Alligator mississippiensis: one gene and its partners. The protein of the gene in region 1 purifies or fractionates together with the protein of each later gene. This does not show direct contact. Links are inferred from orthologs where the notes say so. Each region holds a gene or a part of one and is shown in the gene's direction. Other genes may lie near its edges.

Region 1 (7,362 bases):
TGTTCCTAACCCCAACAGACAGGTGCCAACCTAGTATCCTCTTAAGAGCCTCCAGTGAAGGAGATGCCAAAGCGTCCCCAGGCAGCTTGTCCCATTGTCTGGCTGATCTTGCAGTCAGGAGGTTTGTCCTCAGATCTGATCTCATTTAAAGCACTGCCCCGGGGCCTGGCCTCTGCAGCTGTGGGGCACTGTGGAGCAACCTGCACTACTTTGCTCTCACACCCGTGGCAGCCCGTGGTTGTTTCTCAGTGTGCATTACAAAGTCGTCTGGGTCACACCACCTCCTCCCTGCATGGCTCAGCCATCCCTGTCCCGCTGCCTCCTTGGAGAAAAACCTGCTATGCAGTTCCCAGCACACCTGTGGGCTGCACAGTCCTTAACATGCATGCTCCAGGGGTCCCTGAATGCGACATGTGTCCTCCATGCCACAGCATGGGTGTCTTGGATGACTGGCTCTGTACTCACCCATGGGCAGAAATTGCTTGTGTGCCTAGCATGCTCTGAGTCCCCAGCATAGCACCTATGGCACACGTGGCAGAAGGGATTTGCATTGAAGTACAAGAGTTCGTGGATGCTCGTGTAACATGTTCTCATTGGAAGGATTTCAATTTGACAAGGAGAGCTGCTGTAGTGTTTTGGAAGGCTCTGGCTGGCCGGCCCCTGCTGTTTTCATGCCTGTTAAACATTAAACCAAAGTTATTTCTTTATGATCCTGGCTATGAAAGACCTCTGAAAGAGCGCGGAGCTTCTCGTGTTCTCCTGAGACCAAACCCTGGGGGGCTGGGGATACTCTACTCCCCCCTCCCCCATGCATTCTTGCAGCCGGCCATCCAAAAGCAGCTCTCTGAAGGACTGAGCTTCCAGGTCTATAAAGTGAGTTGTCAGCCTGGTTTATCACTGTGAACTGGGAAGTACCGGGTACATGAACCCGCTGAATTCTTGGGAAATGACTTCAGTGATGGATTACTCAGTTCCCTTTGACAACCTGGTCTCTGGACCCATTTCCCTCTCCTGGTTTAGAAGCTCTCTTTCTAGTCTGATCCAGGTGCCATGTAGACATACAAGGGGGAAAACATCACAGACTTGCAAAATGAAGAAGCATGAGATAGGAAGGGTCCAACTCCCGCAGGGGACTGTAAGACTTTAAAAGCTCTGTGAACTTTTACTTCTTTATTATCCCTGCCTTTTCATGGCTGCCCCTTAGGGAAACTGGGGACAGAAATACCAAAATACCATCAGGATAGTGGGTAAGACGGGTATTTCTAGTCCCATCAGAAGCTGGGGATATCAGAAACCACATGAAAATGCCTGCTGTAGGGGCATTACGAACTGTGAGTAACAGTCTCCAGAAACCCAAGCCTGTTCCATTCAAAGTCAGCAAGAGTTTTATCATGGACTTAAATGGAAGCAGGATCAGCCCCAGAATCCAGAAAAACGTCTGGAAGACGAACGCTGAGTAAATGAATGCCATATCTGCATTTTTTTAGGCTTAGGCCAGCACCACAGATGAATGATCTCTAAACATAGCCCAATAAGATAACAAACAGGATGATTCTGGGGCAGCGAGACAAGATAAAGTTCAACATGATGATGGGCATATAATAAAAGTCATCATGGCATTGATGTGGGCAGCCAAAGCAAGCCAGCGAGGGTAGGCAACGAAAGTGGGGCAAGCCACAAAAGGAATTGACTGATGATGAATTAAAAGACTAATGGCAAATCCAAAGACAAAGCAAGCTCTGAAACTAGGTCTCATTTGGAGGCGAGGGGGAGCAATTTATAATGGCACGACAGAAAGAGAAGTCATATTAATAATGTAAAAGGAAATAAAAGGGGTAATCATGGAGGAGGCTAAAGATAAGGATTATTTGGTCAGCTGGTCTTGGGGAAAATAGGTTAACTAACCCTTTGGCAGAGAAATTAGTTTGTTTGATGGTTATAAGATGTGAAGGATCAGGCAGCTTTGAGACATTTTAAAGTCTCGGGACTTGGAGGATGGCAAACAAAGTTATATGGAGAAAAACCGTGGCATCGTCAACTGCATGTCAATGCCATTAGCACAACCAGGGTGCAGTGACCTTCTGCAATCCACCCCGCTGCAATCTCTTGCCTGGGCTGAAGGCAGGGTAGAAATACATCTTAGGACTAACTAAATTTGAGACGCATGAGCTGCTATGAGCTGTTATAACTTTGCTAGCCAAGCCCTTTGCTAGTATTGTTGCTAGCTCCCGTTTTTTTTGTTGATGAACCAAAAGCATCTGCAAAGCTCTGGGCGGAGGGATGCAGGAGCCCACATGCCAAGTTTAGTCCCCAAACTGTCTTGTGCTTAGGCAGGTTGTGTGAGCTGCTGACCTGCTGTCCGACCCGGAGCTGGAGAGACCACTGAAGGCAGCTAAAATAGCAGTTTAGCCCCTATGGTCCTTTCAACCTCCCATCGAACTGGCTGCTCAGTGAAGCCTAGCCCTGGAGATGCTTTGTGGTCCATGTCCCATATCCGATCTTTCCCCTGAGACATCCAGCCCCACCGTTCATGGCACATTGTAGCCAGACAAAACTTCTGCCAGCTGATGGTTCATCCAGGAAGGGGCCCAGAGGGCACAAGTCAACCGCAGTAGGGACAGGAGTGAATGTCAAGGCCTTACAGAGGTCTGAGCTGAGACCTATGGAGTAGCTGGTGTTACCCCCCTGTAGGGAAGTCAGTGGGACTCAAGACCAAGACCAGCCAGTGAGACCAAACGGCTGCATCTCTCTGAGCTCGGCACAGGGAGACCCCACAGCACGGAGACCTCCACGTCTGCACAGGGTTTCTGAGATGAGTCCTAAAGGAGAAAGCGCAGAGGGTAATTCAAACTGCACAAATAGATCAAAAGCCCTGTGCTCCTTAATTAAATTGGGGGGTTGTGTATGTGCACATCATCAAATGCTCCATTGATTGTCTGACTATGCGTTTATCAAAACTGAGCTATCAACTTTCTTAATATAGCTTCTTTGCCATTAGCTACAGGGCTCAGGAAAACAAGCACTAGATTCAAAGCACTGCAGTACCCAGGACAACACGCCCAGATGCCACCCTCTGAAATTCAGCGTGGCCCTTTGAAATACCCCGAAATGAGGTCACCAAACTACTTCTCAAATGCAAGGAAACAGATATAGCCATCGTTTGTTTTCCAGCCAGCATCAAAAGTCCCTTAGTTTAGCCGCTTGATTTAAAAAATGCAAAGGAGCACTGGGATTGTGTTGGTGAAAGGAGCCTAGCATGGCCAAACTCTTGCTGGATGAGTGCCTAAACACCTGAGAACATCCGGGTCTCGAGGCCGCCCCGCCCCGTCCCATCCCATCCCGCAAAGCCCTTAAGCCACCTCGGTGGACTCAAGGTGCCTCTTGGAAAATGCCAGCTCTCAGCTTTCACTTGGTTTTTTGTCTCTGGAAAAATAACAGAGCAATTCTTCTGTTGCAAAGAACTCAGACTATTTCTGGCACTTGGGATTCCTATTTGAAATGTCTGGGTTTATCTTGTGAACCACTTGCAGGTTGTCGATGCCTCTCCCACCCAAAGTTTAAAACCATCTCCCTGGCTGTGGCAGTCTGGGCTGCGGGAGTCGCTCGACTTCAGGCTCGCTCTCATCTACCAGATCCCTGCTAAACTCTTCATTTGACCCTCTCTTCTTTGGATGATTTTGATGTCCAGCCAATCAAGGCAGCCTTTGTTCTGCAATCCTGCAGCTTGTTAGCTGTTCCTGGGCAGGGAGCTCCTATTTCACAGCTGTGCCCATCGTTTTAAACCCATTCCAGTGAAGTGACATGTTTTTGCTTGACTCTTGAACTGAACAGCACAGCCCTGGGGCCCTAGAAAAATGAGTAAAGCTTCTGTGGACGTTGCGCAACCCCCCTGCAAGGATGGCGCACCCCCAGTTGAGAGCCAGAGAGCTGCTCTGGCGGAGCACTGGGCTCACACGAGCTCAGGGGTCCGACAAAGCCCCGCTCCCTGCCCAGACATGGATGGGCACTGCTGGGGTGCAGCCCCCATTCCCAGGCCCAGGCCCCCGCTCCCGCAGCAGCTTGGCTGGGCGCCTCCTGCAGAGCTGCCCGCGCGGCTGCACCGAGCCCGGGGGGAGGGGGGGGCTCTGCAATGCAGTGCGCTGCACGGCGCCCCCGCGATGCAAAGATGCGTGCACTGCACGGCTGCGCCAAGCCCTGGGGGCTCTGCAGGGCGAGGACGCATTTGCAGCAAGGCGCGCCGAGGCCCTGCAGTGCAGTGTAGTGCAGTGCCGTGCCGCGCAGAGCTGCGCCCGCCCCCGGCTGACGCGCAATAGCGGGGCCGGCGCACACACGTGCATTGGCGGCGCCGCGCGGGGCGGGGAGGGGGGGCCGCCATGGCGAGCGGGGCGGCCGCGCGGCCCGCGGAGGAGCCCCCGGCCCCGGCGCCGCCGCCCGCCGAGCCCCCGCCTGAGCAGAAGCCCGCGCTGCCGCTCCCGGCCCCGGCGCCGCCGCCGCCCCCGGGCCGCGAGGAGTTCTCCTTCCTGCCGCTCGTGCACGGCGTCATCAAGTGGTAATCGCCCTCCCGCCGGGCACGGGGGGGGGCTCCCCCGCCAGATGTGCACCCCTCCCGCTCTGCATTGGGGCACCCGGGCCAGCTGTGCACCCCTCCCGCTGTGCACCAGGGCACCCTTCCAGCTGTGCACCCCTCCCGCTGTGCACCCCTCCCGCTGTGCACCCCTCCCGCTGTGCACCAGGGCACCCTTCCAGCTGTGCACCCCTCCCGCTGTGCACCCCTCCCGCTGTGCACCAGGGCACCCTTCCAGCTGTGCACCCCTCCCGCTGTGCACCCCTCCCGCTGTGCACCAGGGCATCCTTCCAGCTGTGCACCCCTCCCGCTGTGCACCAGGGCACCCTTCCAGCTGTGCACCCCTCCCGCTGTGCACCCCTCCCGCTGTGCACCAGGGCACCCTTCCAGCTGTGCACCCCTCCCGCTGTGCACCAGGGCACCCTTCCAGCTGTGCACCCCTCCCGCTGTGCACCCCTCCCGCTGTGCACCAGGGCACCCTTCCAGCTGTGCACCCCTCCCGCTGTGCACCCCTCCCGCTGTGCACCAGGGCACCCTTCCAGCTGTGCACCCCTCCCGCTGTGCACCAGGGCACCCTTCCAGCTGTGCACCCCTCCCGCTGTGCACCCCTCCCACTGTGCACCAGGGCACCCTTCCAGCTGTGCACCCCTCCCGCTGTGCACCAGGGCACCCTTCCAGCTGTGCACCCTTCCAGCTGTGCACCCCTTCCGCTGTGCACTGGGGCTCCAGTCCTCATCCCTCCCCTAGAGTGACCCCGGGGATCACCCCAGTGCCCCTTTCCAGCAGGATGTGTTCGGGGCGGGCAGGGGGCACCGTGCCACCCCAGGTCACAGCCCTGGCTCGGCTGGGCACCTCCCTCCGGTGAAGAGACAGCTCGGCCCCCCTTGATATCCCAGCCTTCGTGGCCTGGAGAGCGGGCTGGCCTCTGTGGCCGTCCAGTGGGGTGGCCTGCTACGACCTCCAGTCCTCCAGGGCCAGCACTGGCTCCCAGTAGCTTTCCAGGCACGATTCAAGATGCTGGTTTGGACCAACACAGCCTGGGCCCGACGTAGCAAAGGGGCCGCGGTCTCCCTTGCACCCCAGCGTGGTCTCCGAGGTCAGCCAAGAGCAACCTCCTGGCACCGTGGGGGCTGAGCTCTGCATCTCCTCCCCTCCGGGCCTGCCCAAGCCCGAGCCCGAGCCGGGGCATCTGGTGGAAATGATGCGGGACCATTTTTAATGGGGCAGCTGTTAGCAGGAAAGGGTTGAATCTTGGGGCAAATACAGCTTATTCTGTTACTTGTCTGAATGTTTTCATAAGCTGCCTTGTCTGTTGGTGTAAGCCCTCCTGAGCCGTTCCCTGCGATGGTGGTATATAAATGAAGTGGTTCCAAGGGATCCCTTCACCCTCCAAGGTGCAGAGAGATCACTAGTGATCTCCTTAATATCCCTGCCTGGAGATCACTCAGGATTTCCCTTGCTCTCCCTCCTGGCCTACCCTCCCTTGCACGGGGACCTGGAGGACTTGGCTGCCCGCAGAGGCGATCTGATCCAGTCCATCCGCGTGTCCCGATGGCTCCAGGCTCCAGGGTCTGTGCCCCAAGCCTCAGCTCACAGCTTGGCTGGTACACGGCCCGTGAAGCCGTATCTGGAGGCTCCCTGGCTGACCTGTGTTCGTCGAGGGGGGCCGTCCAGGCCATTCTCCGTGGCTCTGTGAAGGGGCCATTGTCCCATCTCACAGGTGACGTAGAACAAGGAAATTGCAGGGCCGAATGGGAGGTGGACTCATTCCTGGAAAGGTGAGCGAGGTATATTCCTGATGCATTCATTTCCCCAGGTCTTTTTGCCCCATTAGCCAGAAGAGATGGCTAATGGGGCAAACCTTGATCTCATCGGGTCCCGGTCCAGATTTTCAGGGAAAGCATGTGGCAAGCTGGCAGATCCCCCACCTGACTCATGCCGAGAAACAGGCCTGGTTTCATCACAATTGGGTGCTTAGGTCAGGCCTGTTCTCTGGCTGAACCAGGCCTGATCACTGCACCCGTTGTCCTCGGCCGCGTTCCTTTGCATTTACGTTGCCTGCAATTGTTCCAGTGGAGAGCAGGCTCCAGAAAGCACAGACAGTCCCAGCTCAGGAATGCGTCCCTGGGGCCCGGGCTGGTACAGACGGACGAGGACGGGGTCATGGCTGGGGTCGGGCTCCCTTCTCTCGGACTCCAGAGCGGTGTATAGATGCAGGCTTTGGCCCCGAGGGTCCTTGTTACTCTTGGATGGTGGCTGGCCCTGGCATCCTCCTTGCAGTGCAGCCTGTGGGTGTTCACGCCTGGCTGGGCAGCCCTGGCACAGAAGTTGTGCATGTAGACACAGAGCAGGGAGTACCGAGGGCAGCATTGCCAGCTCTCGAACGCAGCCCCACTCAGGTGCTTTACACCGGTGTCAGCGGGGACCTGTGTACTCCCCATGCAATACATCATGGGCCTGATCTTCCCTTACGTGATCGCTTCTTCCCACCCTTCCTGCAGCACAAAGGAGCCCTAATATGGCCAGGTAGGGGGCTGGTGTGTAAAAGAGTCGCGCCCTCTTGGTTTCGTGCTGACGGGCAGCTTGGCCTCAGACACGTCGCACAGGTAGAGAGTCCCAGCCCCAAAGACTTTACAGTCTGAAGGCAGCACAGGGCAGAGCCTTACTTGCTCGCAGTCTGGACATTGTGGGACAAGGGTGCTCCAGGCTGGCTCTCGCAGAGCAGGGGACGCTGTTTGCCATCACGTGGCAAAGGACCGGAGACGGGCATGGGAGAAGGAATCAAATTAAGGGTCATC
Region 2 (7,494 bases), on another chromosome or scaffold:
CATCCTCCCCCCCGCCCCGTGAAGGAGAAGTGTTAGCCGGTTCAAATTGCCGCAGGGACTGGAGGTGCATTCACGTTTAGATCATGCAGAGCTTTTCCTTTGATCACAAAATCATCAGAGCTGGGCTCGACCGGGGCCATTCCTGTGCAGTGACACATGTCCAGGAGCAGGAATTTAGATCGTCGTGTGCAATGGGATGGTGCAATGGGCTAATCATGTCTGAGACATTCGGGATAGGTTCCCAGCATGGTACTTTCCATGCATCTTCCTTCCCGCAGCACCTGAAGTAACCTGACTGATGATGACATGAGATTGGGCTCGCGCAAGAGTATGCATCTCTGATTCAGCTAGTCTGTAAGGTGCATCTCTACCCTTCCTTCTGCCTAGGTTCAGACTAACGTGGTTAACTACCTGTCTCTTGACTAATATCTGTCACGTACGGGCTACGTGCTCCAGGGAGCGTGTGGAGTCCTTTGGTAGGCGTTTGTGGCTCTTAGCAAAGGCAGGTCGGAGACGGGCACCTTTATGTTTGGGGCAGGAAGTCTGACGTTCGTGATGGCTCCTAGTTATCCCGGAGCTGCAGCTCAGTCCCCAGGAGAGCTGTTTCCTGTGCAGGCAGTCTCTAGCCATAGGATGATAACATCTTACATAATAAATCAGATTTTCTATGGTTAAAAAGTATCTCCATGCCGCAGCGCGGTGGGCTTGACTTTGTGGTGAAATGCTAACAGGATGTCTAAGATGATGATCAATCAAGCGCTGTTGTGACACGGGGGCTTTGTGAAACAGCGTGTTGCTAAAACCCTGCATGATAGCACCTGCGTTACAACAGGCCGTTGCAACACCAGCGCGGCGTATGGAGGCATTGTGTCATACAGGCAGCGTTGCTACATGCTGGCACTGCTCTTATTTGCCTAACCACGGGTTTTAGCCTGATGCTTCTGGGCAGGTTTTTCAGGCCCTAAGCCAGGGGCAAGCAATTATTTCGGGCGGAGGGCCGCTCACTGAGTTTTAGCAGGCCGTCGAGGGCTGCATGACAGGCAGCCAGGGGCAGATAAATATTCATTTTCTAAATTTTTAGGGGCCCCGCGGGCCGGATAGAATGGCCTGGCGGGCCGCGTGTTGCCCACCCCTGCCCTAGGCACTTCCCCTGAGTTCCCCTGAGATCTCGCATCTTTTGCTGGCTCCGTGTGCCACCAGCGAACGAGACGGTGGGACAGAACGGAAGGAACAACGTTGTAGATAAGACGGGTGTTATGTCCTAGAGTTGCACTTGAAACGTGGGGAACGGTCCTGATTTTCCAGCAAGAGTGTGTGCGTTGGGGTTGGGGGGGCAGGGGCAGGGGCGGATCCAGGGGGTGTACTCGCACCCCACGTTGATTCCTGCTGCACCGGAAGTTTAAAACCAGTTGCCTGGCTGTAGCAGTGGCATTTCTTTTCAGGCAGCAGTGAGGGAGTCACTTTGTGGCACGATTATCACGTTATAATCTACCCGTTCCCTTCTCAGCTCTTCATGCCCGGGTGTTAACGACCCTCGCTTCTTTGTCTTGCCATTCACAGAATCATGGAAAACGAGGGCTGGAAGGGACCTTGGGCGGTCACATCTAAGCCAACCCCTGCTCCAAGCAGGGCCGTCCCCGGCTCCATCCTTCGGTGCCGTCGTATTCAGTCCGTACCAAGAAAAGGCTGTTCCACCAGTCAAGCTCGCTCATGTTCTGCCGTTGGGCTCTCTGTTCCCTGCGCCTGGTAAGGAAGCTGGTGTTTGCTCATTTGTAACTCCTTCCAACAAAGTTATGCGTTTGAGCTCCCAGCTTAAACTGAACACCACAGCCCAAGGCCCCCGGCATATTTGTAAATCCAGGGGATTTTTAACTGGAGAAAACGATGAGTTGTGGTCTCTGGCAGCATGTCTCAACCCACGGGTCGTGACCCAAAAGTGGGTTGCAAGAATACAGGAAAGGGTTGCAAACAAACTTTCAAAACGGATTCTCCTTTCCAGGAGGGAGGCGTGGGTGTTCCCTTCCAGACTGGCAGAGCTCCAGCCTGCAAGAGGCTGCTTGGGGCCCCCCCAGACCTCTCACACGCCACCCTGCCCCGCGTACTCACCCTCTGCCCCACGCGCGGGGGGCTGGGGTTGGGGGGCAGCGGGTCGGGAGTGAGGGGCGCTGGGTTGGGACCAGCCGTCGATGTGTGCAAACAAGTGGTGCAAAGAAGGCGGAGAACCACTGGTCTATGGGACGATGCATCTCCCCACGTGCAACCCCCTTTCCAGAATCCCGGATCCGCCAGCGCCGGGGTGTTTATCCAGCTGAAAGGAGGATGTGGGAGTTGGGACGGGGTGGGGGCAGTGCGTCGCAGAACCCCCCGGCTCTGCAGCTGCTGGAGCCCAGAGGACCTTGGCGACACGTTACGTACATGACGCAGTTCTTCAGTGATTTGTGCAATACGTTTCGACCAGCCCCGCATGCAAAGGAATGACTGCAGGATAACAATGACTCCCCAGCTGGCAAAAGGAGGCAGCCAGCTCCCAAGGCAGGGCTGGAAGAGGTGCAACCACCTGCCTCGCCCTTCACCGGGCCGACGAGGCAGCCCCTAGGGCTTGTGCCAGCGGCCGCCGGCAGGGGGCAGCAGAGACCTCTCTTATGGGAGGACTACATCTCCCAGGAGCCTTTGCTTCTGGGGCCCCACATACAAAAGCCGCCGACTGGTGTGGGCGTCCCTGCCGCCGCCTGTCACCCGCGCGCCATAAACGGAGCGGCCTGGGACGTCTACCCGCGGGCGGCGGGGCGGGCTCGGGAAGGTTGGGGGCGCCGCGCCGCGGGCGGCGGTCTCAGGCGATTAGCGCGGACACCCGCGCGCGGGGGCCTGAGCGGCCAAGCGCATGCGCAGTGGGGCCGGAGGGCGGCACGTGCAGGGCATGGGCGGCGCGGGCGGCGGGGACGGGACTCGGCCCTGGGCTCGCCTGAGGCCTTCCTCCTCGCCTTGCCTCAGTTTCCCCCCCTTCCTCTTCCTCCTTGCTTGGCTGGCTTGTCCCGTGCTGATGCCCAGAACCTCTGTGTTCAGGCCCCGGTAGACATGGCTCCCAAGGACACCCTGGAGGAGTCTTTTGCGGAAGACCTGCTGAATAACCTCACTGAGCACTAAGCGAGTCCGGTGCGTGGTACACTGGAGCGAGCTGGGCACGGTCAGCCGTGTCCTGGAGCTGTCCGGGGCCCCAGCCCTTGGCACAGCGTGCCCTTGGTGCCCGCACCCCGCGTACAGCTGCCCCAGTCTTTCCTGTACCCGTGTGGCAGGAAACAGTAGCTTTTGCAATCGCTTGCATGCCCACTCTTTCTCTGATCCTGCATTATTGAGATCTCCCTGCTTCCGTATTTCCAGCTGGTTCCAGAGCATGAGATCCATTGCTGGAGGCAGAAATAAGATCCTCAAGAAGCAGCCCAGGCCGTGGAGGTTCCTGTCCATCCTCCGCTCGTTTGGGGACCAGGAGCTACCACCAGTTCTCCCTCCCCGGCTGCGAGCCAGCGGTCAAGAACGCTCGCCCCCTTAATCTTGCCTTGCCTTTCTTTTCCCCGCTGGAGCGTGCGTTCTGCCCCCGCTCCACCGCTGCAGCAGAGCGAGATCACCACGGCGCGCGTGGAAACCCTGCATTTTTACGAACCAAAATGATGCTCTTCCCACGCTCTCAATGGCCTTTGCTAATGCACTGGCTTCCCTCGAGTACCAGGGTGGCAAGATACTCTCATTCGCGCCGCGACTGGGTGCTCTAGTGGTCCGGGGTCGGTAGAGAAAGGTAACAGCTCCCCTTCCACCCACTTTCTTTCTTCTTTTAGGAGATGGACATAAACTTCAGCACGGATTCGGTGTGTTTGAAGCCTTCTGGTAACGAAGCTCCTTGTCCGCAGCCCTGCAGACTGGTTTAAAATCCTTTCAATAGAGTGATATTTCCTTTTATCTCCATCTTAAACCAAATGAACGTCGCCCACGGTCTCTGGGGTTTTCCTGAATCTTCTAGTATATTTTTAAAGGGGAGAGAAAAGATGCGCCGTGTCTTACGGGATTGGCGCACCTCCCCATATGCAACCCCCTTCCCCAAACCCTCGCTCTGCGCTGGTGGGGGTGCTTATCCATCTGAAGGGAGGATGCCTGGAGAATCCCCCTGGCTTGGCAGCTGCCCCGAGCGACCCCAGGCCCTGACGACGTGTTACAGATAAATTGCACTTAGCGGGTGACTCGCGCATTCAATTCCGAGCAGCGCCGGGCGCAAGGGGTAAAACTGCCCGGCTGTAGAAACGGGCGGCCCCACGGGGCTCCTGCAGGGGGCGGCAGAGGCCTCTGTTACGGGAGAACGACATCTCCCAGGAGCCTTTGTTCCTAAGGACCCCTCCTCTCAGCCAGACGCTGGCGTAGGCATCCTTCGCACTGCCTGTCACGCGCGCGCCTTAAATGCCGCCTGCCCTGTGCCGGGCAGGCGACTAGTGCGGACACCCGCGCGCGGGGGCCTGAGCGGCGGCGCCTGCGCAGTGCGGCCCGCGGGGGCAGCATGGACGACGAGGAGGAGACGTACCGCCTGTGGAAGATCCGCAAGACCATCATGCAGGTGGGCCAGGCCTCCCCCCCCCCCCCCCCCCACACTCCTCGTGCCTCAGTTTCCCTTACCCCTGCCATCCCTGTGCCTCAGTTTCCCCCCCCCTCCTCCTTGTGCCTCAGTTTCCCTTACCTCCTGCCATCCTCGTGCCTCAGTTTCCCCTCCTCCTCCTCGTGCCTCAGTTTCCCTTACCCCCTGCCATCCCTGTGCCTCAGTTTCCCCCCCCTCCTCCTCCTTGTGCCTCAGTTTCCCTTACCCCCTGCCATCCCTGTGCCTCAGTTTCCCCCCCCTCCTCCTCCTCGTGCCTCAGTTTCCCTTACCCCCTGCCATCCCTGTGCCTCAGTTTCCCCTCCTCCTCCTCGTGCCTCAGTTTCCCTTACCCCCTGCCATCCCTGTGCCTCAGTTTCCCCCCCCTCCTCCTCCTTGTGCCTCAGTTTCCCTTACCCCCTGCCATCCCTGTGCCTCAGTTTCCCCCCCCCTCCTCCTCCTCGTGCCTCAGTTTCCCTGCCCACCCCTCGTGGAGCTGACGGCGCCCGCTCCCCGCAGCTCTGCCACGACCGCGGCTACCTGGTGACGCAGGACGAGCTGGACCAGACGCTGGACGAGTTCAAGGGGCAGTACGGCGACAAGCCCAGCGAGGGGAGGCCGAGGCGCGCCGACCTCACGGTGCTGGTGGCTCACAACGACGACCCCACCGATCAGATGTTCGTCTTCTTCCCCGGTGAGGCTCCGCGGCGCTTCTCTGTTAGAAACCCGGCGGGGGGACGCACGCTCTCGTAAAGGAAACGGACCCTTCTCCTAAATCCCGCCTGGCCTGATTTTTTTTTTTTTTTTTTTTTTTTTTTTTGTTCTTCTCAGAGGAGCCCAAGGTGGGGATCAAGACCATCAAGCTGTACTGCCAGAGGATGCAGGAGGAGAACATCACCAGAGCCCTCATCGTGGTGCAGCAGGGCATGACGCCGTCCGCGAAGCAGGTGCGCCACTGCCCTGCCCGGGGGCCGGCGGCCTTCGGGCTCTCGGGGGCCGACGCGCCGGGTCGCGCCTCCTTCGCGGCGACCTCGTGGAGCACGTCGGTGCCGTAAAAGCGGCGACCGTTACTTGAGAGGCCGAGACCGGAGCCCGGCGCGCGGGCCGGGGCACTGCTCTTACCCCGGAGGGCGGCGCTCGCGGGCATTTTGCTCGGCCTCTGGGTGGATGGTGGGTACACGGCAACAGCGAGGATTGGGCCCCTTGTAGCTCCCCCGCCGTCCGCCCGACGTCTTACACATTGGGAGTCGTGAGTGTTTTCAGTACTCTGCCCAAAAATGTCGCCGCCCCCTGCCCTACGGGGCAAGGTTGAGCTTTGCTTTTTTGTTTGTTAAAGCCGGCATGGCCTGAAAGGCGCTTGCTTGTTATGTGTGGTGAGGCCGCGGTGCAGCATCAGAGGCTGGGGTTGCAGTTGTGTGAGGAAGTGGCTCCTGTGAGTTTCCTTTACGAAGCAAACAAAGAAGCACCTGGCGTAGATGCGGAGGAGTCCGTGCAAACGTACACGATGGCCTGGCCCCAGAGGCGTTCGGGGGGGGTGCAGTGGGGATGGACTCGTGGCACGTGCCTGTGCTCGAGTCCGGTCCTTGGACGAGCCCCGCTGGGCACAGATACCCTTTGGATTCAGCGGAGGTTGCTCGACTATATCAGCAATTACTGCAAGGCTCTCCATGGGTCTTACTTAATATGCCACAGAGATGACCCTGCTCTTACAGATCAGCTGTGTGAGGGGTTCTTGATTCGGCTCGCTAGAAATACCTAGGGAACATGCCACGGTTGTACTCCCTGCAACAGTCTCTTTCCTACCCCTCGGGGGTTTGACTTGAGCAAACTTTGTATTCTGCAAGGTACAAGATACTGCTCTTAACTCCTTGTCAGCGAAGCTTGCAGGCAGTGAAGTGCGTTACTGCCCAGATACTGCGGTAGTGGGCCAGGAAAATCCCAGCAAGAATGAGACTCGTTCCCTTATCGCGGCGTTGCTGCCCAAGAGGGACAGAAGAAGTGAGGAGGGTGGGAGTGATTCAAGGAACGACAAGAGGAAATGTGACTAGAGCAGTAGGGAGCAGAAGGCTTAGCAAGGGGAGAAGTGGGCAAACGTCAGGCTGTGATGGGGGAAGTGGTGCTCACCTGTCTGCTGCTGGTGGAGAGGTCTGTTACCCACACCTGCGCATGCCCTTGAAGTAGCGAAGGCAATATGATGGGAATGGCATACTCTAGCCCCAGTCTGAATAAACCCGGGACCAGCTCAGTCTGGTGCGCTGGGCTTGCTAGCCCATGCTGATGTTCACTCTCTTTCTTTCAGTCCCTGGTAGACATGGCTCCCAAGTACATCTTGGAGCAGTTCCTCCAGCAAGAGCTGCTGATTAACATCACTGAACATGAGGTGAGTCCAGTGCCTGGGTACATCGGTGTGAGCTGGGCATGGTCAGTCACATCCTGGAGCTGTCTGGGGGCTCCAGGCCCTTGGAGCGGTGTGCTTTTGTGCTGTTGGGTGCTGGCATTGCATTTAATAGCTACTCCAGTCTTTCCTAAGCCTGTGTTCCTAACACTGGTCACTACAGGAAACAATGTTTTTTGCGCTCACTTGCATGTGTTCGTTCTCTCTCTCTTTCTCTCCTTGGGTTATTGAGATTTCCCTGCTTCTGTACTTGCAGCTGGTTCCAGAGCACGTGGTCATGACAAAGGAAGAAGTCACTGAGCTGCTAGCCAGATAGTATCCTTTTGTTTCTGAGCCTCCCTGAAGCCCCTGCCAGCACAGATGTGCTTTGTGCTGGAAACTACCACACTTGTGGTGTATACAGTAGTGCTTTTATTTGCTGTGAGCCTGCAGAGCAGGCAGCAGGCCCAGCTGATTTACCCCACTGGTGATTTTTCCTTCACTGTTG
Region 3 (7,429 bases), on another chromosome or scaffold:
GGAACAGGGACTCTCCCAATGCCTGCTGGTCCCCCTCGACTAGTTTGTAAACTGCCACTATATCCCCTCGCAACCTTCTCTTTTGGAGGCTGAACAGGTTCAGGTCCCTCAGCCTCTCCTCGTAGGGCCTGCCCTGTTGACCCCTGATCATGCAGGTGGCCCTCCTTTGGACCCTCTCCATATTGGGCACATCCCTCCTGAAGTGTGGCGCCCAAAATTGGATGCAGTACTGCAGCTGCGGCCTGACCAGTGTCGCATAGAGGGGGAGGATCACCTCCTTGGACCTGCTTGAGATGCATCTGTGGATGCACGACAAGGTATGGTTCGCCTTCCTGACTGTGTCCCCACACTGTCGGCCCATGTTCATTGTGGCATCAATGATGACTCCAAGATCCTTTTCTGTCTCAACACTAGCGAGAAGGGAGTTCCCCAGCCTGAAGTTGTGCCACTGGTTCTTCCTCCCCAGGTGCATTACCCTGCACTTGTCAGTGTTGAACCCCATCCTGTTCTCTTCGGCCCACCCCTATAACCTGTCTAGATCAGCTTGCAGCATGTTCCTTCCTACTAGCGTACCTACTTCACCCCACATCTTAGTGTCATCTGCGAACTTGAACAGGGTGCATTCTACCCTCTCGCACAACTCACTGATGATGTTGAACAGTGCGGGCCCAAGGACCGAGCCGTGGGGAACCCCACTGCCCACATCCCTCCAGGTCGAATAAGACCCGTCCACCACCACCCTCTGGGTGCAGCCCTCCAGCCAGTTAGTGACCCATCTGACCATGTAGACATCAACACCATTGTCTCCTAGTTTCTTACTGAGAATGGGGTGAGAGACCGTGTCAAAGGCCTTGCTGAAGTCCAGAAAGACTATATCCACTGCGACACCTGCATCCAAGGACTTGGTGACCTGGTCATAGAAGGCCACCAGGTTGGTTTGACAAGACCTCCCCCTAATGAACCCACGCTGGTTGCCCCTGAGCATAACCTCCCCTGCTGGCCCTTCCTGGATATGTGCCAGGATAATTCTTTTGAAAAGCTTCCCCAGGACCGAAATAAGACTCACAGGCCTATAGTTTCCTGGGTTCTCCTTCCTCCCTTTTTTGAAGATGGGGACCACATTGGCCCTTTTCCAGTCCTCCGGCACAACGCCTGAGTGCCATGAGTGCTCGGAGAGCTGTGCCAGAGGTCCCGCAACGATCCCTGCTAGTTCCTTCAGCACTCTAGGGTGGAGATCATCAGGACCTGCGGATTTAAATACATCTAGTCCCTCCAAAAGTTCCCTGACAAGGTCCTCATGAACCCTAGGCCTGGGTATGCCACCCACAGGGCCCTTGGGGGGGCCAGTGGGGGAGATATCCGGGTCCCTCCTCAGAAATACGGAGGCAAAGAAATTGTTGAATATGTCAGCTTTACCATCAGGCGAGATGATGAGATTTCCTAGTGTGTCCTGCAGAGGCTCCACGTTACTTGGCACCTTCTTTTGCCCCCTATGTATTTGAAAAAGGACTTTTTGTTGTCCTTGATCTGGGTCGCTAGTCAGGCAGTGCTGAAAGAGTCCATTGATTTCATGGCTCATTGTAACCTACTGATCGCTGCTAAACTCTTCATCCCACAGGTGTTAATGACCCTCTCCTTTTGAATGGCCTTGATGTTCTGCCAGTCCATCCAGCTATGACCTGGTAGCTGCTTCTGGTCATGAAGCTCCTGTTTCACAGCTCTGCATGTTTGTTTTTCATAGATTCATAGATTCATAGATGTTAGGGTCGGAAGGGACCTCAATAGATCATCGAGTCCGACCCCCTGCATAAGCAGGAAAGAGTGCTGGGTCTAGATGACCCCAGCTAGATACTCATCTAACCTCCTCTTGAAGACCCCCAGGGTAGGGGAGAGCACCACCTCCCTTGGGAGCCCGTTCCAGACCTTGGCCACTCGAACTGTGAAGAAGTTCTTCCTAATGTCCAATCTATATCTGCTTTCTGCTAGCTTGTGGCCGTTGTTTCTTGTAACCCCCGGGGGCGCCTTGGTGAATAAATACTCACCAATTCCCTTCTGTGCCCCCGTGATGAACTTAAAGGCAGCCACAAGGTCGCCTCTCAACCTTCTCTTGCGGAGGCTGAAAAGGTCCAGTTTCTCTAGTCTCTCCTCGTAGGGCTTGGTCTGCAGGCCCTTGACCATACGAGTTGCCCTTCTCTGGACCCTCTCCAGGTTATCCGCATCCCTCTTGAATTGCGGCGCCCAGAATTGCACGCAGTACTCCAACTGCGGTCTGACCAGCGCCCGATAGAGGGGAAGTATCACCTCCCTGGACCTATTCGTTATGCATCTGCTGATGCATGATAAAGTGCCAGTGGCTTTTCTGAGGTGGTATGCCAACAGCGAGGCAGTGCCTTGAAACTTCAGCGACTGCGTTTGTGAACAAAGTTTTTTCTGAGCAGCATTTCTGTTTGTTACATCTTCCTTAACGCGGGAGGGGAAGGAATCGTTGCTTCTTTTTTTATATGTACATATTTTTTTAAATGCTTGTTTATGTTTAAATGCAGAGGTACCATTTATTTTAGGGTCCTGGCTGGTTCCATGGTGAATACCTTCAGGTAAAAAAATCTTTTTGGGGTTGTGGGGCAATTTTGTTTAATCATTTACACAAATGTAATAGAGCAGAACTTGACTTCCTCACTCGAGCATTTTGCACAGGTGCCAGGCACACGTCCAGAAGGGCAGTTGTGATGTTAGCTCTGAGAACTGGTGGTATGTTAATGTTGCTATCTTTTCCATGCAGGCCTTTTGGTAAGAGATAACTTATGGTCTTCCTTTTTTTTTTTTGAGGTCTGTTTTATCTTTATAACGCAAGTCCCCCCCACATCACCCCACCCAAAGTCTCAACGTCTGCTTGGAGGTCCTGGGTCTCCTCCAATTGCCTGTTTTTAACTCATTGCAGTGAAGTTCTGTTTGTTTTTGCTTCAATTTTAAATGGCGTAATACAGCCCTGGGCCGCCGGCCTGTTGCTAAAGCTCCTAGTTTATTACCTGGAGAGAAATGCATGTTGTGTTGTATGTGATGATGCACTTCACCCTCTTTTTCAAACTCCTAGAGATGCCCACACCCAGGTGTGTTGGCAGACTCAAGTGCGTGTGGCGCAAGGCATTAAGAAACAAAATGTGGAAAATGGTGTAAGAAATAGTGATATCAGGCAAATATTGCTGTAAGAAACAGTGATTTGGGGATGAAGCTGCGGTTGGCTGCTTATTTCCAGTTCCCTATTCTTTATTCCCAGGTCCCTATTCCTTATTCCTAGTTCCTTTTTCAAAGCTAATCTAGACCCAATAAAAGCTTGTTATAAATTAATTACACATCCTGAAGAGAATTTCATTAGCTGTGTGTATGTACTAATTCGTATGTACAATAATATCCCACATTAAGTACATAGCCCTAAATGAAGGTCAGATTAGGATGGAATTATGGGGCAAAATACTTCTTGGGCCACCACAAACTCCCTGTTGATGCCACTGGGGGACTGTCCTAAAGAACCCTGACCACATATTTTACTTGTCCGATAGAGTCCCCCAGTCGTGCAGAGGTATTCTGATGGGTGGCCCAAGCAGATTTTCTAGCTATAATCCCAGCCCAAAAACCAGTTCCTTATTCAAGATTTATACTTAGTATAGCGGGCATGGGGGCTGTCAGTTGGCAGCCTGGCACGGCCAAACCGTGCTGTGGTCAGGGTTCTTGGGACAGTCCCCCAATGGCATCAACAGGAAGTTTGTGGTGGCCCAAGAAGTATTTTGCCCCATGATCCTATCCTAATCTGACCTTCATTTAGGGCTCTGTACTTGAGGTGCGATATTATTTTACATATGAAATAGTACATGTGCATAGCTAATGAAATTATCCCTCTTTAGGATGTGCAATTCATTAATAACAAGCTTTTATTGGGTCTAGATTAGCTTTGAAAAAGGAACCTCACACCGGGAATAAGGAATTTGGAATAAGCAAACAACTTCATTCTTATGATTTGGGGCGGGTTTTGGAAAAAACGCAAGCCCCGGGGAGAGTACATCTCTCAGCCCCGCTTGTTTACTTATCTGCATAGCAGAGGGCTCCTTAAGGTAGGGAACTCAGGCCCGTCCGTCCAGCCCCAAAGGATCCCGCTCCTCCGAGGTGTTTTCCTCTCGAGTTCAATAGGAGCCGGCCCAGGCACAGGCCCTGCAGCGCCCGAGCCCCTCGGTGGCTAAGAGACCTCGCAAGTACCCTCCCGCCAGCAAGGAGCAAGCGCCCCCAGCAGCCAAGACACCCTCCTAGCGGAACCCGAACCACAGACCCGAAAAGGAAGTATGTACAACTCCACCCGTGCCACTTCTACTCCCAGCCCCCTCCCATTCCCTCCCTGACCACCTAAGATTGGGAGCTGCGATTGGCTGCGCCGTCGCGTTTAGGCGCTGACCAATGGGTGGGCAGGATGCTAGGGTGAGAGTATGGCGGACCGGCTCACGCAGTTGCAAGACGCGGTGAATTCGGTGAGGAGTTGCGCCACGCTGTGCCGGGCGGCCGAAGCCCGGGTGGCTCCTGGTCCCGCTCCCCCCTCCCCCACCAGTGGGCGTGGATCGGGGGGGATCTTCTCTTAGGGGGACGAGAGGGGGTCCCGGGGTGAGAGTCTGGTGGAGGGGAGGTTCGGGTGGGGGTTGGGAAGAGGTTGGGGTTGTGAGGAGGGTAGCGGCTTTGACTTTGCCCACTGGGCCCCGTGGCTAAGCATTGCATGCTGTGCGCCTTGCAGCTTGCTGACCAGTTCTGCAATGCTATTGGGGTGCTGCAGCAATGCGGTCCACCTGCCTCGTTCAGCAACATCCAGACCACCCTCAACAAGGACCAGCCAGCCAATCCTACGGAAGGTAAAAAACATCTTGTGCAGCTTTTCTGACTGGCGGGGCAGCTCGCTGGTACACACAGGGGTCAGTGAAGGTAGGGGCTGGATGAGATCTGTTCTGGGTCTCTGCAAGAGCGCAAATGTAAGTAACATTGTCTGGAGTTGGTAGAATTGTAGGAAAGGCAGCTGAAGGGACCCTGAGGTTGTCATGTCCAGCCCCTAGCCTCGGTAGGGTTATTCCTCACTAAGCCATTGCAGAGTTACCATCCTGATGGTCATACTATCTGGAATACCAGTGTGATGGTATCTGGGAACCATCCTGTTCTCTGCTCTAAAATATGTAATGGCAGGACAAAGCAAGAGTTATGTTTCAGGGAAGAGGCAGTTTAAAATATTTAGTGTTTAAACAATCAGGTCAGCCCTAATTTTGTTCCATGTGTTTCTTAAGTGGGATCTCTTCTGATCTAGGTGCACAACCAAAAATACTTCTCAAATTAATCTCCTTTTGCTTTATGTTTGAAATCAGGTTAGGCTTGACCTTGGGGATCCCAAGTGGGGCTAGCACAGTGCACAATGGTGCTGTGCTGCAGTTCAGGGCAACTGAACCATGCACAGCCCTGCATGCAGCATATGCTGGTCCCTATGCTCATGTGCAAATGGCCCCTTTGATCTTACAGTGCATGGGTTGGACCCAGAGCTGCTGGCAGCACAAGGAATCTGGGGCATGGGCTGCAGGCAGCACCCTGAACTGACTTCCTGTCCTGCTTGCAGTGCTGGGGCCACCCCGTGCCAGTTCCAGGGGCTAGCATATGCTGCATGTGGTGCATGAGCTGGACCCAGCACTGCCGCTACTCCACGGGAAGGGTGGGCAGGGGGAGGGGGTTGGTCCTAGTTCAGTCCAGTCCACAGAGTAACTCATAGACACTCAGCTGGCTGCAGGGGTGGATGCATTTGACACCTCTGCCTTAAACTCTGGCCAAAGCACATTCTACTATAGCATGTACTAATCTGGCCACTAGTTAGAAAAGGTTGTGCAAAACACACTAGAAAATGCCAGACTAGCCTCTTCTTAATATTAATGTCCTTGAAAGCAAGAAGGTTTTTAAGTACTGTTTGCAGAGTACTCATTTTTGTATTTAAGGTACAAAAGCATGTGAACAGGGCTATTGAAACAAACATTGTCAAAATGACACTTGATTAGACATGGAAAATGTGTTAATATATTAGGTTTTTAAAGTGTATTAAATCTTTAACCAGAGTATTAGTTGTATGTTCTTAGTCACCATTTTTTTTTTTGTGTGGGGCTTGTTTTTATTCTCTTCCATATTGTTTGGTGATTGTTTTTTGTTTGTTTGTTTGTTTGTTTTTTGGAAACAGTGGTTGTGACTTAAAATATGTCAGATGCACAAAGTAAACAGGAAAAACCTACAGATCTCCTTAACAACCTTTTAACTGTAGTCTTGTTTTACTTGTTAACTGGATTTATAATATTATAAAAGTCAATTTTTAAAACTAATAGAGGAGTTGTATACTTTACCAAAATTTAAAAGTCTTATCACTAGCAAAGGTATCTGGGTTCTAAGCTGCAAATTCTTTTAAACATATGGATAGCAAAGTTTTTAAAGGCATTTAAGTTCAGCGTGCTAAAATTCTAACACAGTAGCAGTAAACCTTTTAATCTAGTTGTTTCTTTAAATTTTTCACCATATTTATGCAGCATTTATACTGCACAGAGGTTGTTGCACACCTGAACATTTGTTAACTAACAGTTAACGAAATGGCAAACCCTACTCGTGTTCTTGCTGCAACTTCATATAGTTATGGGAGCACTATTTGTATACAACTATATTTAATCTGATGTTTTAGCCCTTTATTTGTGAATAGTCTGAATTTTTAGCCTTTTATCTGTGCTCAATGTGATTCAGTTGTCCTAATGTACCATGCTATTGCTGCCTTGTATGGGGAAGTTCTTAAGGCTTGACATTTCCTTGATTTTTAGAAGTAAATACAGCTTGTCTGAAATGGATTTAAGTTCTTTAAATGTGCCCCCAGCTTATTACAGGTCCTCCGAAGAAAAGAGCTAAAAATAGTATATTAGAGTAATTCTTATTTATTTTTAATAGAATATGCCCAGCTCTTTGCAGCATTGATTGCTCGTACTGCTAAGGATATAGATGTTTTGATAGATTCGTTACCTAGTGAAGAATCAACAGCAGCTTTGCAGGTAAGAAAGTTGAAAGCCAAAATACTGAAACACTGCAAAAATGCTTCTTAATCGCATTAAATCACATCTCAAAAGAGTAACTAATGTAAAAGATGTGATCTTGCATATTGTTTAAAATGAACTTCAGCTCTTCAAAAGAGAACCTGTAAATCTCAGGCAATATACTGAAAAGATGACATTGTGTAGGTGAACTTGAAACAGGGTGGGCAGACTTGCATCCAAGACCACTAAGATATGTAGAACTTGCTTTGACTTTCTTACAGTGCCAAAGAAACTCTTCTTACCACCACCTAATGTTACTTTAGGAAGTTACCTGGCATCTTCAATTGTTGATAGTTTATCTA
Region 4 (6,842 bases), on another chromosome or scaffold:
AATAATGGTGTTACAAAAGTGTAAGCAAATTAAAAGAAAACATAAAAGGCTGCATAATGAAATAGAGGGACTCATGAAAATAAAAGTTTAAGGCTAAAGTGAGACTAAATAGTCTCAAAGGGGGGACTGTGGAATCAGAAAAAAAATAAATGCCTTAAACTTTGATCATACGGGTTATAAGATGACATAACTGCTTTGTGGGGAATTGCTGGTTCTGCATAGTAGAGCAGATAAGGGAAAGTGTTTGTTCTTTGTAACTCCTCTGCAACTGCTTTGCTCACCGCAGCCTCAAAGAGAGGAGAAAAAAGTATGTACAAACTCTGATTTCCAGGGGCAAAAAGGGAGTGTTAGTTCTCGCTTCGTGAATTAACCTTGTCTCCCCCATAATTCCCATCCTGATAACAGCAAAGCAGTAATGAGCTAGTGTTTGTAGCTGCTTTTTCTAGCAAACTCCACTATATGATCATGTGAACTGTTAAAAAGTATATAAGCTTCCTGATTTTGCTCTTGGGGGGAAACCCATTCCAAGTGCTTGGGAAATCCATGCCACTTTGGGGTTCCCCCCTACAGCTGCAGTTTCATTTGAATAAAAGCTTCTGCTGATCTGACCCAAAAGTATGCTGTGTGTGTTTCCACGACAAGGCCATCCTGCAAATTTTGCAGGGACAGCAACACCAAATAGATGAGCTAATGAAACCTAGGACAGAAGAAAATGAAGCCCATAAGCTGTTATTTGCCCAAAAGCTGGCTCTGAATGAGAAAATGATGGAAACTGGTAGAGCACCGAGAGGAAGAATGGAGGAATTCCACATGACTTGGATGATTCCTGGGGAGGACCCAGAGGCATACCTTGAAGCATTCCAGAGGATGGCCACAGCAGCAGGATGGGATAGTCAAGTGGGCCTATCAGCTGGGTTCCCTAGTAATAGGCAAGGCATAGATGCCATATAGAGCTCTGTCAAGAGACAAAGCAGGTGATTACTAGGGCTGTGCGAAATTTTGCCCAGTGTTTCGTTTTGAAGCTGTTTCAATGCCTTTCGAGCTCGAAACAGCAAAATCAAAATGAAACAAAAGCCTTCAAAACAGCTTCAAAACAAGACAAGGGAACTCAAAATGTTTTGAAATTTTTTAAACGTTTCGAGTTTTGAAGCCAGGCTTACTTGGCTTCAGTGCCGGTCCCATCCGGCAGAGGCAGCCTCCTGTCATCTGGCAGGCAGACTGGGGGCCCGCCCAAACCTCCAGAAGGCTGCAGGGCTGTGTCAGACTCCTCCCGGAGGTGCAGGCCCCAACAGGAGGCTGGGGCTGCTGGCTGGGGCCAGCAGCAGCACTGATCTTCTAGCACAGGCTGCACCCAGCGCTGGTCCCAGCTGGCAGCACCAGCCTCCTGTCATCCGGCAGGCAGATTGGGGGCTTGCCCGCACCCCTGGGAGAGCTGCAGGGCCATGCTGGACTCTTCCCGGGGGGTACAGGCCCCCGATGTGCCTGCCAGATGACAGGAGGCTGGTGCTGCCGCCTGGGACTGGCGCTGGGCACAGCCCGCATCCAGCACCGGGAAGATCAGTGCTACCGCTGGCCCCAGCCAGCAGCACCAGCCTCCTATCATCCGGCAAGCAGATCTGGGGACCTGACATTCCTTGCAATAGTTTATATGGGTTGCACCCACACCATGGTGTGAACTGAGTTAGTTCCGCCTGGGGTAGGAGAATCCTGTGAGGCGATAACAATGATATGTTTGCATGGAGATGCTACAACCTATAAGAGGCAAAGTATTCCTTTAATGGTCCTTGGAAAAACGTATGACATGCTGGTAGGTTTAGCTAAAAACCTACCAAATCCATTGATACTAGGCAGGAATAGGCCATATATCAAGGTTATGCAGGAAGTAACCATAGAACCTGGGATGCTGCAAAGGCCCTGATGCTCCAGCTGACCAGATGAGGGATTTACAGGACAAAAGGGAGACAAAGAAACTTTAAGAGAAAGTATGGAAGAGTCACTGGATATACAAGGCCTGATTGGTCAAGGACAATTCCAGGCAGAGCAACAGCAGGAAGATGCATTTTGACATGTCTGTGGAAGCAATGTGGCTAGCTGAAACAGAGAGGTGATACAGTCCGAGCTCACAGATCAGAAAATGCAGTTTGAGGTAAGAGACAACATTCTTTATTGAATTGATAAAGGGATGGGGGCAGAAGAGGTAGCTCAGGTTTTAGTACCCCGGGGGTATAGGAAGCCCTTGTTATGGGTGGCCTATACCTTACCATTGTAAGGGTGGCATCTGGGAACAGACAAAACAGTGGTTCACTTGTTAAAATGGTTCTCTTGGCTGGGTACATACAAAGAAGTAGAACAATTCGGCAGGAGTCGCCTGCTCGCAGCCCCATCCCATCCACCTGGCCACACTCTCTGCACATGAGGGTCCCACATAGTCTTCACGTAGACCCCAGGATCGCTGGGCAGTGACAACACTGGGCTCGGGCCAGGGCAGAGTCATGATCTACTCCTTGCAAGTGCCTGGAACTGGAACCCATCGCAGGGGTGTGCAGGCAGCAAATCACAGCTCTACCCTGGGCCCCAGTCCTGCACTGTCACTGCCCAGTGACCTCAGGGTCTCTATGGAGAATGGTCAGGACCTGCCTGGGCAGGGCACGAAGACAGGCAGATGGGATGGGGCTGCATCTGGGGCCAGGTCCAGGATCTTGGGGCAGTGACAGCACAGGGCTGGGCCAGGGCAGAGCCGCATTTGCTCCCCACATGCCCCTACCTGCAGAACTTGTGCCCATCTCAGGGCCTTGTAGGCAGCGGATCATGGCTCTGCTCTGGCCCTGGTCCCACACCGTCACCCACCTGCAATTTTGCCTCATGACCCTGGCCTTGCCTGCCAGTCCTGCTCCCTGCCCCATCCCAACTGCCCAGCGGTTCAGGAGCCACTTAGGGAGTTTTGGTGAGCTGTGGCAGGGCAAGGGGAGGTATTGACCTGGCCTGCAACAGCTCACAAAAACTCCCTCTGTGCCTAACAGGCCCAAATAATTGCCCACCTGTTTTAGCCTGTAGTTCCAAAAGGTTGGTAAGGCTAGATTAGGATCATCTTGCTATCCAAAGCGCTTTCTCTCCATCTGTCTTCATTCACACCCAAGATGTCAATAACATTTCCAGCTTGCAGCATTGCAGTTCCATCCCAAAATCCTTCATGTAGCATGGCTAGTAAGTGGAGCAGCAAAGTCTGCAAAGTATTAGCCTCTTGCCAAAGCAAGATGATTTGGTCCCATGTCCTACAGTTTGTTTGGACACAGCTCAGTGATCCGTGTGAGAGAGATCGTTTCCTGTTTCTGCAACATCTTACATGGGGTAAATGTCCCACAAAACTCTGTATTTTCTCTATATAAAACTCTGTACGTTCTCCCCTATGTCCTATCCAGCATGAGTGTGCCAGGTTGCAGCCCCTTCGCTGCCTCTTCAAGAAGGTTCTGGCTGCCATGGGACCCACGCTGTCCTGTTCGTGCAGGCCCCATCTGCGCCCCACCACGTCCAGGCAGAAACATCTCCCCGCTAGGGATTCCTGCTTGAAATCCCTGGGTTTGTCTCGTGAATTGGGGGTAAGGGGCCCCACCCTGCACCCCAGGGATCTCGGAGCACCCCAGGACCCGAGAGCAGCTGATCTTCCTGGGAGAGAGGAGTCAAAATGCTTCTTGCCCCCATAGGACAGGCTGATAAAAGTCTGGGGGAGGGGCCACCCTGGAGGACTCGAAGCTAGCAGTGCTCGGCCTCTTCACGCTGCGGTCAGTGCCCGGGAGGGGCCAGCTCTCGGCTTCCTCGTGTTCATTAACCGCGCACAAAGCCGGACCGCCTCCCCCGGCGGCGGCAGCTTCGGGCTGCACAGCTTGAGCCTGCGCGCGCAGCTAGGCCGAGAAGGCGCCCCTAGCGGAGCGGGCGGGTGGGCAGGCGCCTCTTGCGGAACCACCGGCGCGGGCGCTGCTGCCGCCGGGCCGCTTTCGGCGCCGGCCCTTCCGCCGCGCCGGGCCATGGCGGTCCCGATGGCGCCGATGGAGACGCAGCTGCAGAGTATCTTCGAGGAGGTGGTGGTGAGTGTGGCCCGGGCCGGCAGCGCGGCCCCTCGCGCGGGGCGGGGCGGGGCTGTGCGCCCCGGGGTCGGGCCTTGGCTGTGCGCGGGGAGGGGCCCGCACTGAGACGGGGCCTTATCCGTGTAGACAGAGATGCGCGTGTGCATGTATGTGTACACATGTTCATGCATGCATGTACACGTGTACATATACATACACGTGTGCGCGCACACATGCAAACCCATACACACATGTGCATGCGCGCACACACGTACAAACCCGTGTGCACATACACGCACGCACACTTAGGCATATGCATACACGCATCGGAGACAGCGGTCCCTCGGAGTCGAGGATGACGTCTGTGGGGCTTGCTGGGTCCTCAGGTGAGTGAGGAACCCCATCCTGAGTGCACAGGTTCTTCCGCAACGGGGGCATGTTGCTGCACAGGGCAGTGGGATTCGCAGCCCCAGGTTGGTCTCCGTCTTCCTCCTCCACTGTTGCCGTTCTGCCTCAGTATAGAGTCGTTGGGCCTCAAGGCGGCACGCGTCATACATGTATACGCACACGTATGCGCACATATGAACACCCATGGATGCACACATACATGTGCATATGCGTGTGCACGTGCACACATAGCTGCATGCACACACACATGCACATATGTGTCTGTGTCTTCGGTACTCCTTCACAGTGGAGGATGATTGTCTTCCACAGCTCTCTTATCTGTGTGTCCAAAGCTGCCTGACAAGGCCGACCTGGGATCCACAGACTCTGCTGCAGCTCTGGCACAGGTTTCCATGCAGTGCAGGTGGCTCCAGATTCTCGATTTGCTCCACCGCAAGCTGCTTCTGCCAGCCCCATTTTTCTGTCTCTTGTTGTCATTGTAAGGTTTCAGGGTACTGGAAGTACTTTCAAAGCATCCTAGGGGTGCTGCCACTGCGTGGTCTGCATGACTGCTTGTTCACCAGTTACCCCTGCTTATTTCGCAGCTAACATTTCCTGAAGGTCATTCCTCTATCTGCCACCTATGGATGTGCTGGGTAGCGGTACAACTCTGTCCCCAGATAATATGCATCTCTGTCCAGAAAATGCATAAGCTTTCCTAACCCAAGTGGTGAGGGAACTTGGATTATAGGAATGCTTGTACTTTCTCTCTGTTTTCATGCAGTCATAAAATCATAGAAAATTAGGGTTGGAAGGTGCCTCTCTGGGTTGCCTGCTCCAGTGCCTTGCTAGCCTCCTCATGAGAGTGTTTTTCCTTATAATCTAACCTAAACTTCCCTTGCTGCAACTTGAGACCATTGCTCCTTGTTCTGCCATCTGGCCCTACTGAGAATGGTCCAGCTCCATCCATCCTCTTATTTTTTTAAGCTATATGTATTTCATATGGCTGAAAGGCAGTTACAGAGAGGATGGAGAGACTTTTCTCAGTGGGGGCAGATGACAGAATAAATAAGGAGCAGTGGTCTCAAGTATATACGTGTGTGTGTGTGTGTGTACACAAACATATGTAGACACACAAGATTTGTGTGTGTGTGATATGTAAATGTGTGTATATGTGTATGCATATATGTATAAACATACACACACACACTTTTATCTAGAGAGAAAACAAGCTTTCCTCAGCTCAGGATCATGTGGATTGAAGTTAAATTTGTACTGAGATTAAGGTTTTGGTGTTCAGAGCTGGAGGGGAGCAAGGGGTGCCAGTAAAGAATGTAAAAAGTAAAGAGATTCCTTTGCAGCCGCAAGCCAGGAGAACGAGCCCACTGGCAGTTTTTACTAGTTTTAAGGAGAGTGGCTGGTACCAAGACCAGACAGGTGGGGATTATATTAGTGAAGGCATGAGACCACAAGAGCCCACGCAGGAGCTTTGGACATTAGATCAAAAAGAAAAGGTTGAATTCTGGCAGAAGCAAAAATAGTTGGCCAAGATCTAGAGCAGGGTTGGGCAACTATTTCGCGCAGAGGGCCACTTAGCCAGTTTTGGCAGGCTGTCAAGGGCTGCATGAGTAGCCCTGCCCCTTGATAGGTGCCCTGCCCCCTGGTCACTGTCTTGGGACCAATGTCCCAGGGCCAGCACTGGTGAGGCCCAAAGCGAGGCACAGGCTGGCAGGAGTCTGTGGAACCAGGCTGGGCTTCACCAGCAGAGAGAGTGGGGAGTTGGCCCGGCTCCATAGAGCCCCTGCTGACTGAGACCCTGCGCTTCTGCCACCCTGCTCTGGGTCCCACCGACACTGGCCCTGGGACACCCATGTGGGCCCTGTGCTTCCACTGGCTCCTGCATCTGCTCACTCCCACTCACTCTGTGCGCTCCCCGCGGTACAGGAGGCGGGCAGCGCACAGCCCCAACCTCCTGCTCGCCGGCAGGGAAGAAGCTGGCTCCTGTACCTGCTCACTCCCAATGCCCCCCAGCCCCGCGGTATAGGCAGCAGGCAGCGCACAGCCCCAACCCCCTGCTTGCCGGCAGGGAAGAAGCTGGTGCTGAGCATGGGGAAAAGCGACCGCTTGTCCACCCCATGGCTAGCCCTCCCTGCTGCAGGCGCTTGCAGCCCACATGAGGCTATCTGGAGCAGGCACAGGCAGCCCCATGTGGGCTGGAAGCGGCTCTAGCACAGGGCGCCGGGCACTGGGCGACCAAGGGGCCGCTTTTCCCTACACTCAGCACCAACTTGTAACCCAGCCCCACTGCCAGCCTGGGCTCTGTGCCGGCTCTGGGCTTGCCGCGCCAGGCAGTGTTGGCTGCTGCTGTCTGGCTGGAGCACACACTGGGCAGCC

The links.
Region 2: the proteins of MED9 (region 1) and POLR2E purify together in Homo sapiens (affinity purification with mass spectrometry; 4 studies listed by BioGRID and IntAct, with this or other methods). This does not show direct contact. The link is inferred for Alligator mississippiensis from reciprocal best matches to the Homo sapiens genes MED9 and POLR2E.
Region 3: the proteins of MED9 (region 1) and MED21 purify together in Homo sapiens (co-immunoprecipitation; 8 studies listed by BioGRID and IntAct, counting the BioPlex papers as one, with this or other methods). This does not show direct contact. The link is inferred for Alligator mississippiensis from reciprocal best matches to the Homo sapiens genes MED9 and MED21.
Region 4: the proteins of MED9 (region 1) and MED23 purify together in Homo sapiens (co-immunoprecipitation; 3 studies listed by BioGRID and IntAct, with this or other methods). This does not show direct contact. The link is inferred for Alligator mississippiensis from reciprocal best matches to the Homo sapiens genes MED9 and MED23.

The regions. Positions count from the first base shown.
Region 1 is NC_081836.1:54,494,449-54,501,810, forward strand, and holds the start of MED9 (mediator of RNA polymerase II transcription subunit 9), read left to right. Parts: upstream 1-4,358; 5' UTR 4,359-4,373; coding exon 4,374-4,549; intron 4,550-7,362.
Region 2 is NC_081839.1:2,967,289-2,974,782, forward strand, and holds the start of POLR2E (DNA-directed RNA polymerases I, II, and III subunit RPABC1), read left to right. Parts: upstream 1-4,478; 5' UTR 4,479-4,540; coding exon 4,541-4,597; intron 4,598-5,131; coding exon 5,132-5,306; intron 5,307-5,443; coding exon 5,444-5,559; intron 5,560-6,911; coding exon 6,912-6,992; intron 6,993-7,263; coding exon 7,264-7,322; intron 7,323-7,494. UniProt on the Homo sapiens protein: DNA-dependent RNA polymerase catalyzes the transcription of DNA into RNA using the four ribonucleoside triphosphates as substrates.
Region 3 is NC_081827.1:129,464,320-129,471,748, forward strand, and holds the start of MED21 (mediator of RNA polymerase II transcription subunit 21), read left to right. Parts: upstream 1-4,417; 5' UTR 4,418-4,472; coding exon 4,473-4,514; intron 4,515-4,771; coding exon 4,772-4,886; intron 4,887-6,984; coding exon 6,985-7,085; intron 7,086-7,429. UniProt on the Homo sapiens protein: Component of the Mediator complex, a coactivator involved in the regulated transcription of nearly all RNA polymerase II-dependent genes.
Region 4 is NC_081824.1:114,295,188-114,302,029, reverse strand, and holds the start of MED23 (mediator of RNA polymerase II transcription subunit 23), read left to right. Parts: upstream 1-3,836; 5' UTR 3,837-4,022; coding exon 4,023-4,082; intron 4,083-6,842. UniProt on the Homo sapiens protein: Required for transcriptional activation subsequent to the assembly of the pre-initiation complex. Component of the Mediator complex, a coactivator involved in the regulated transcription of nearly all RNA polymerase II-dependent genes.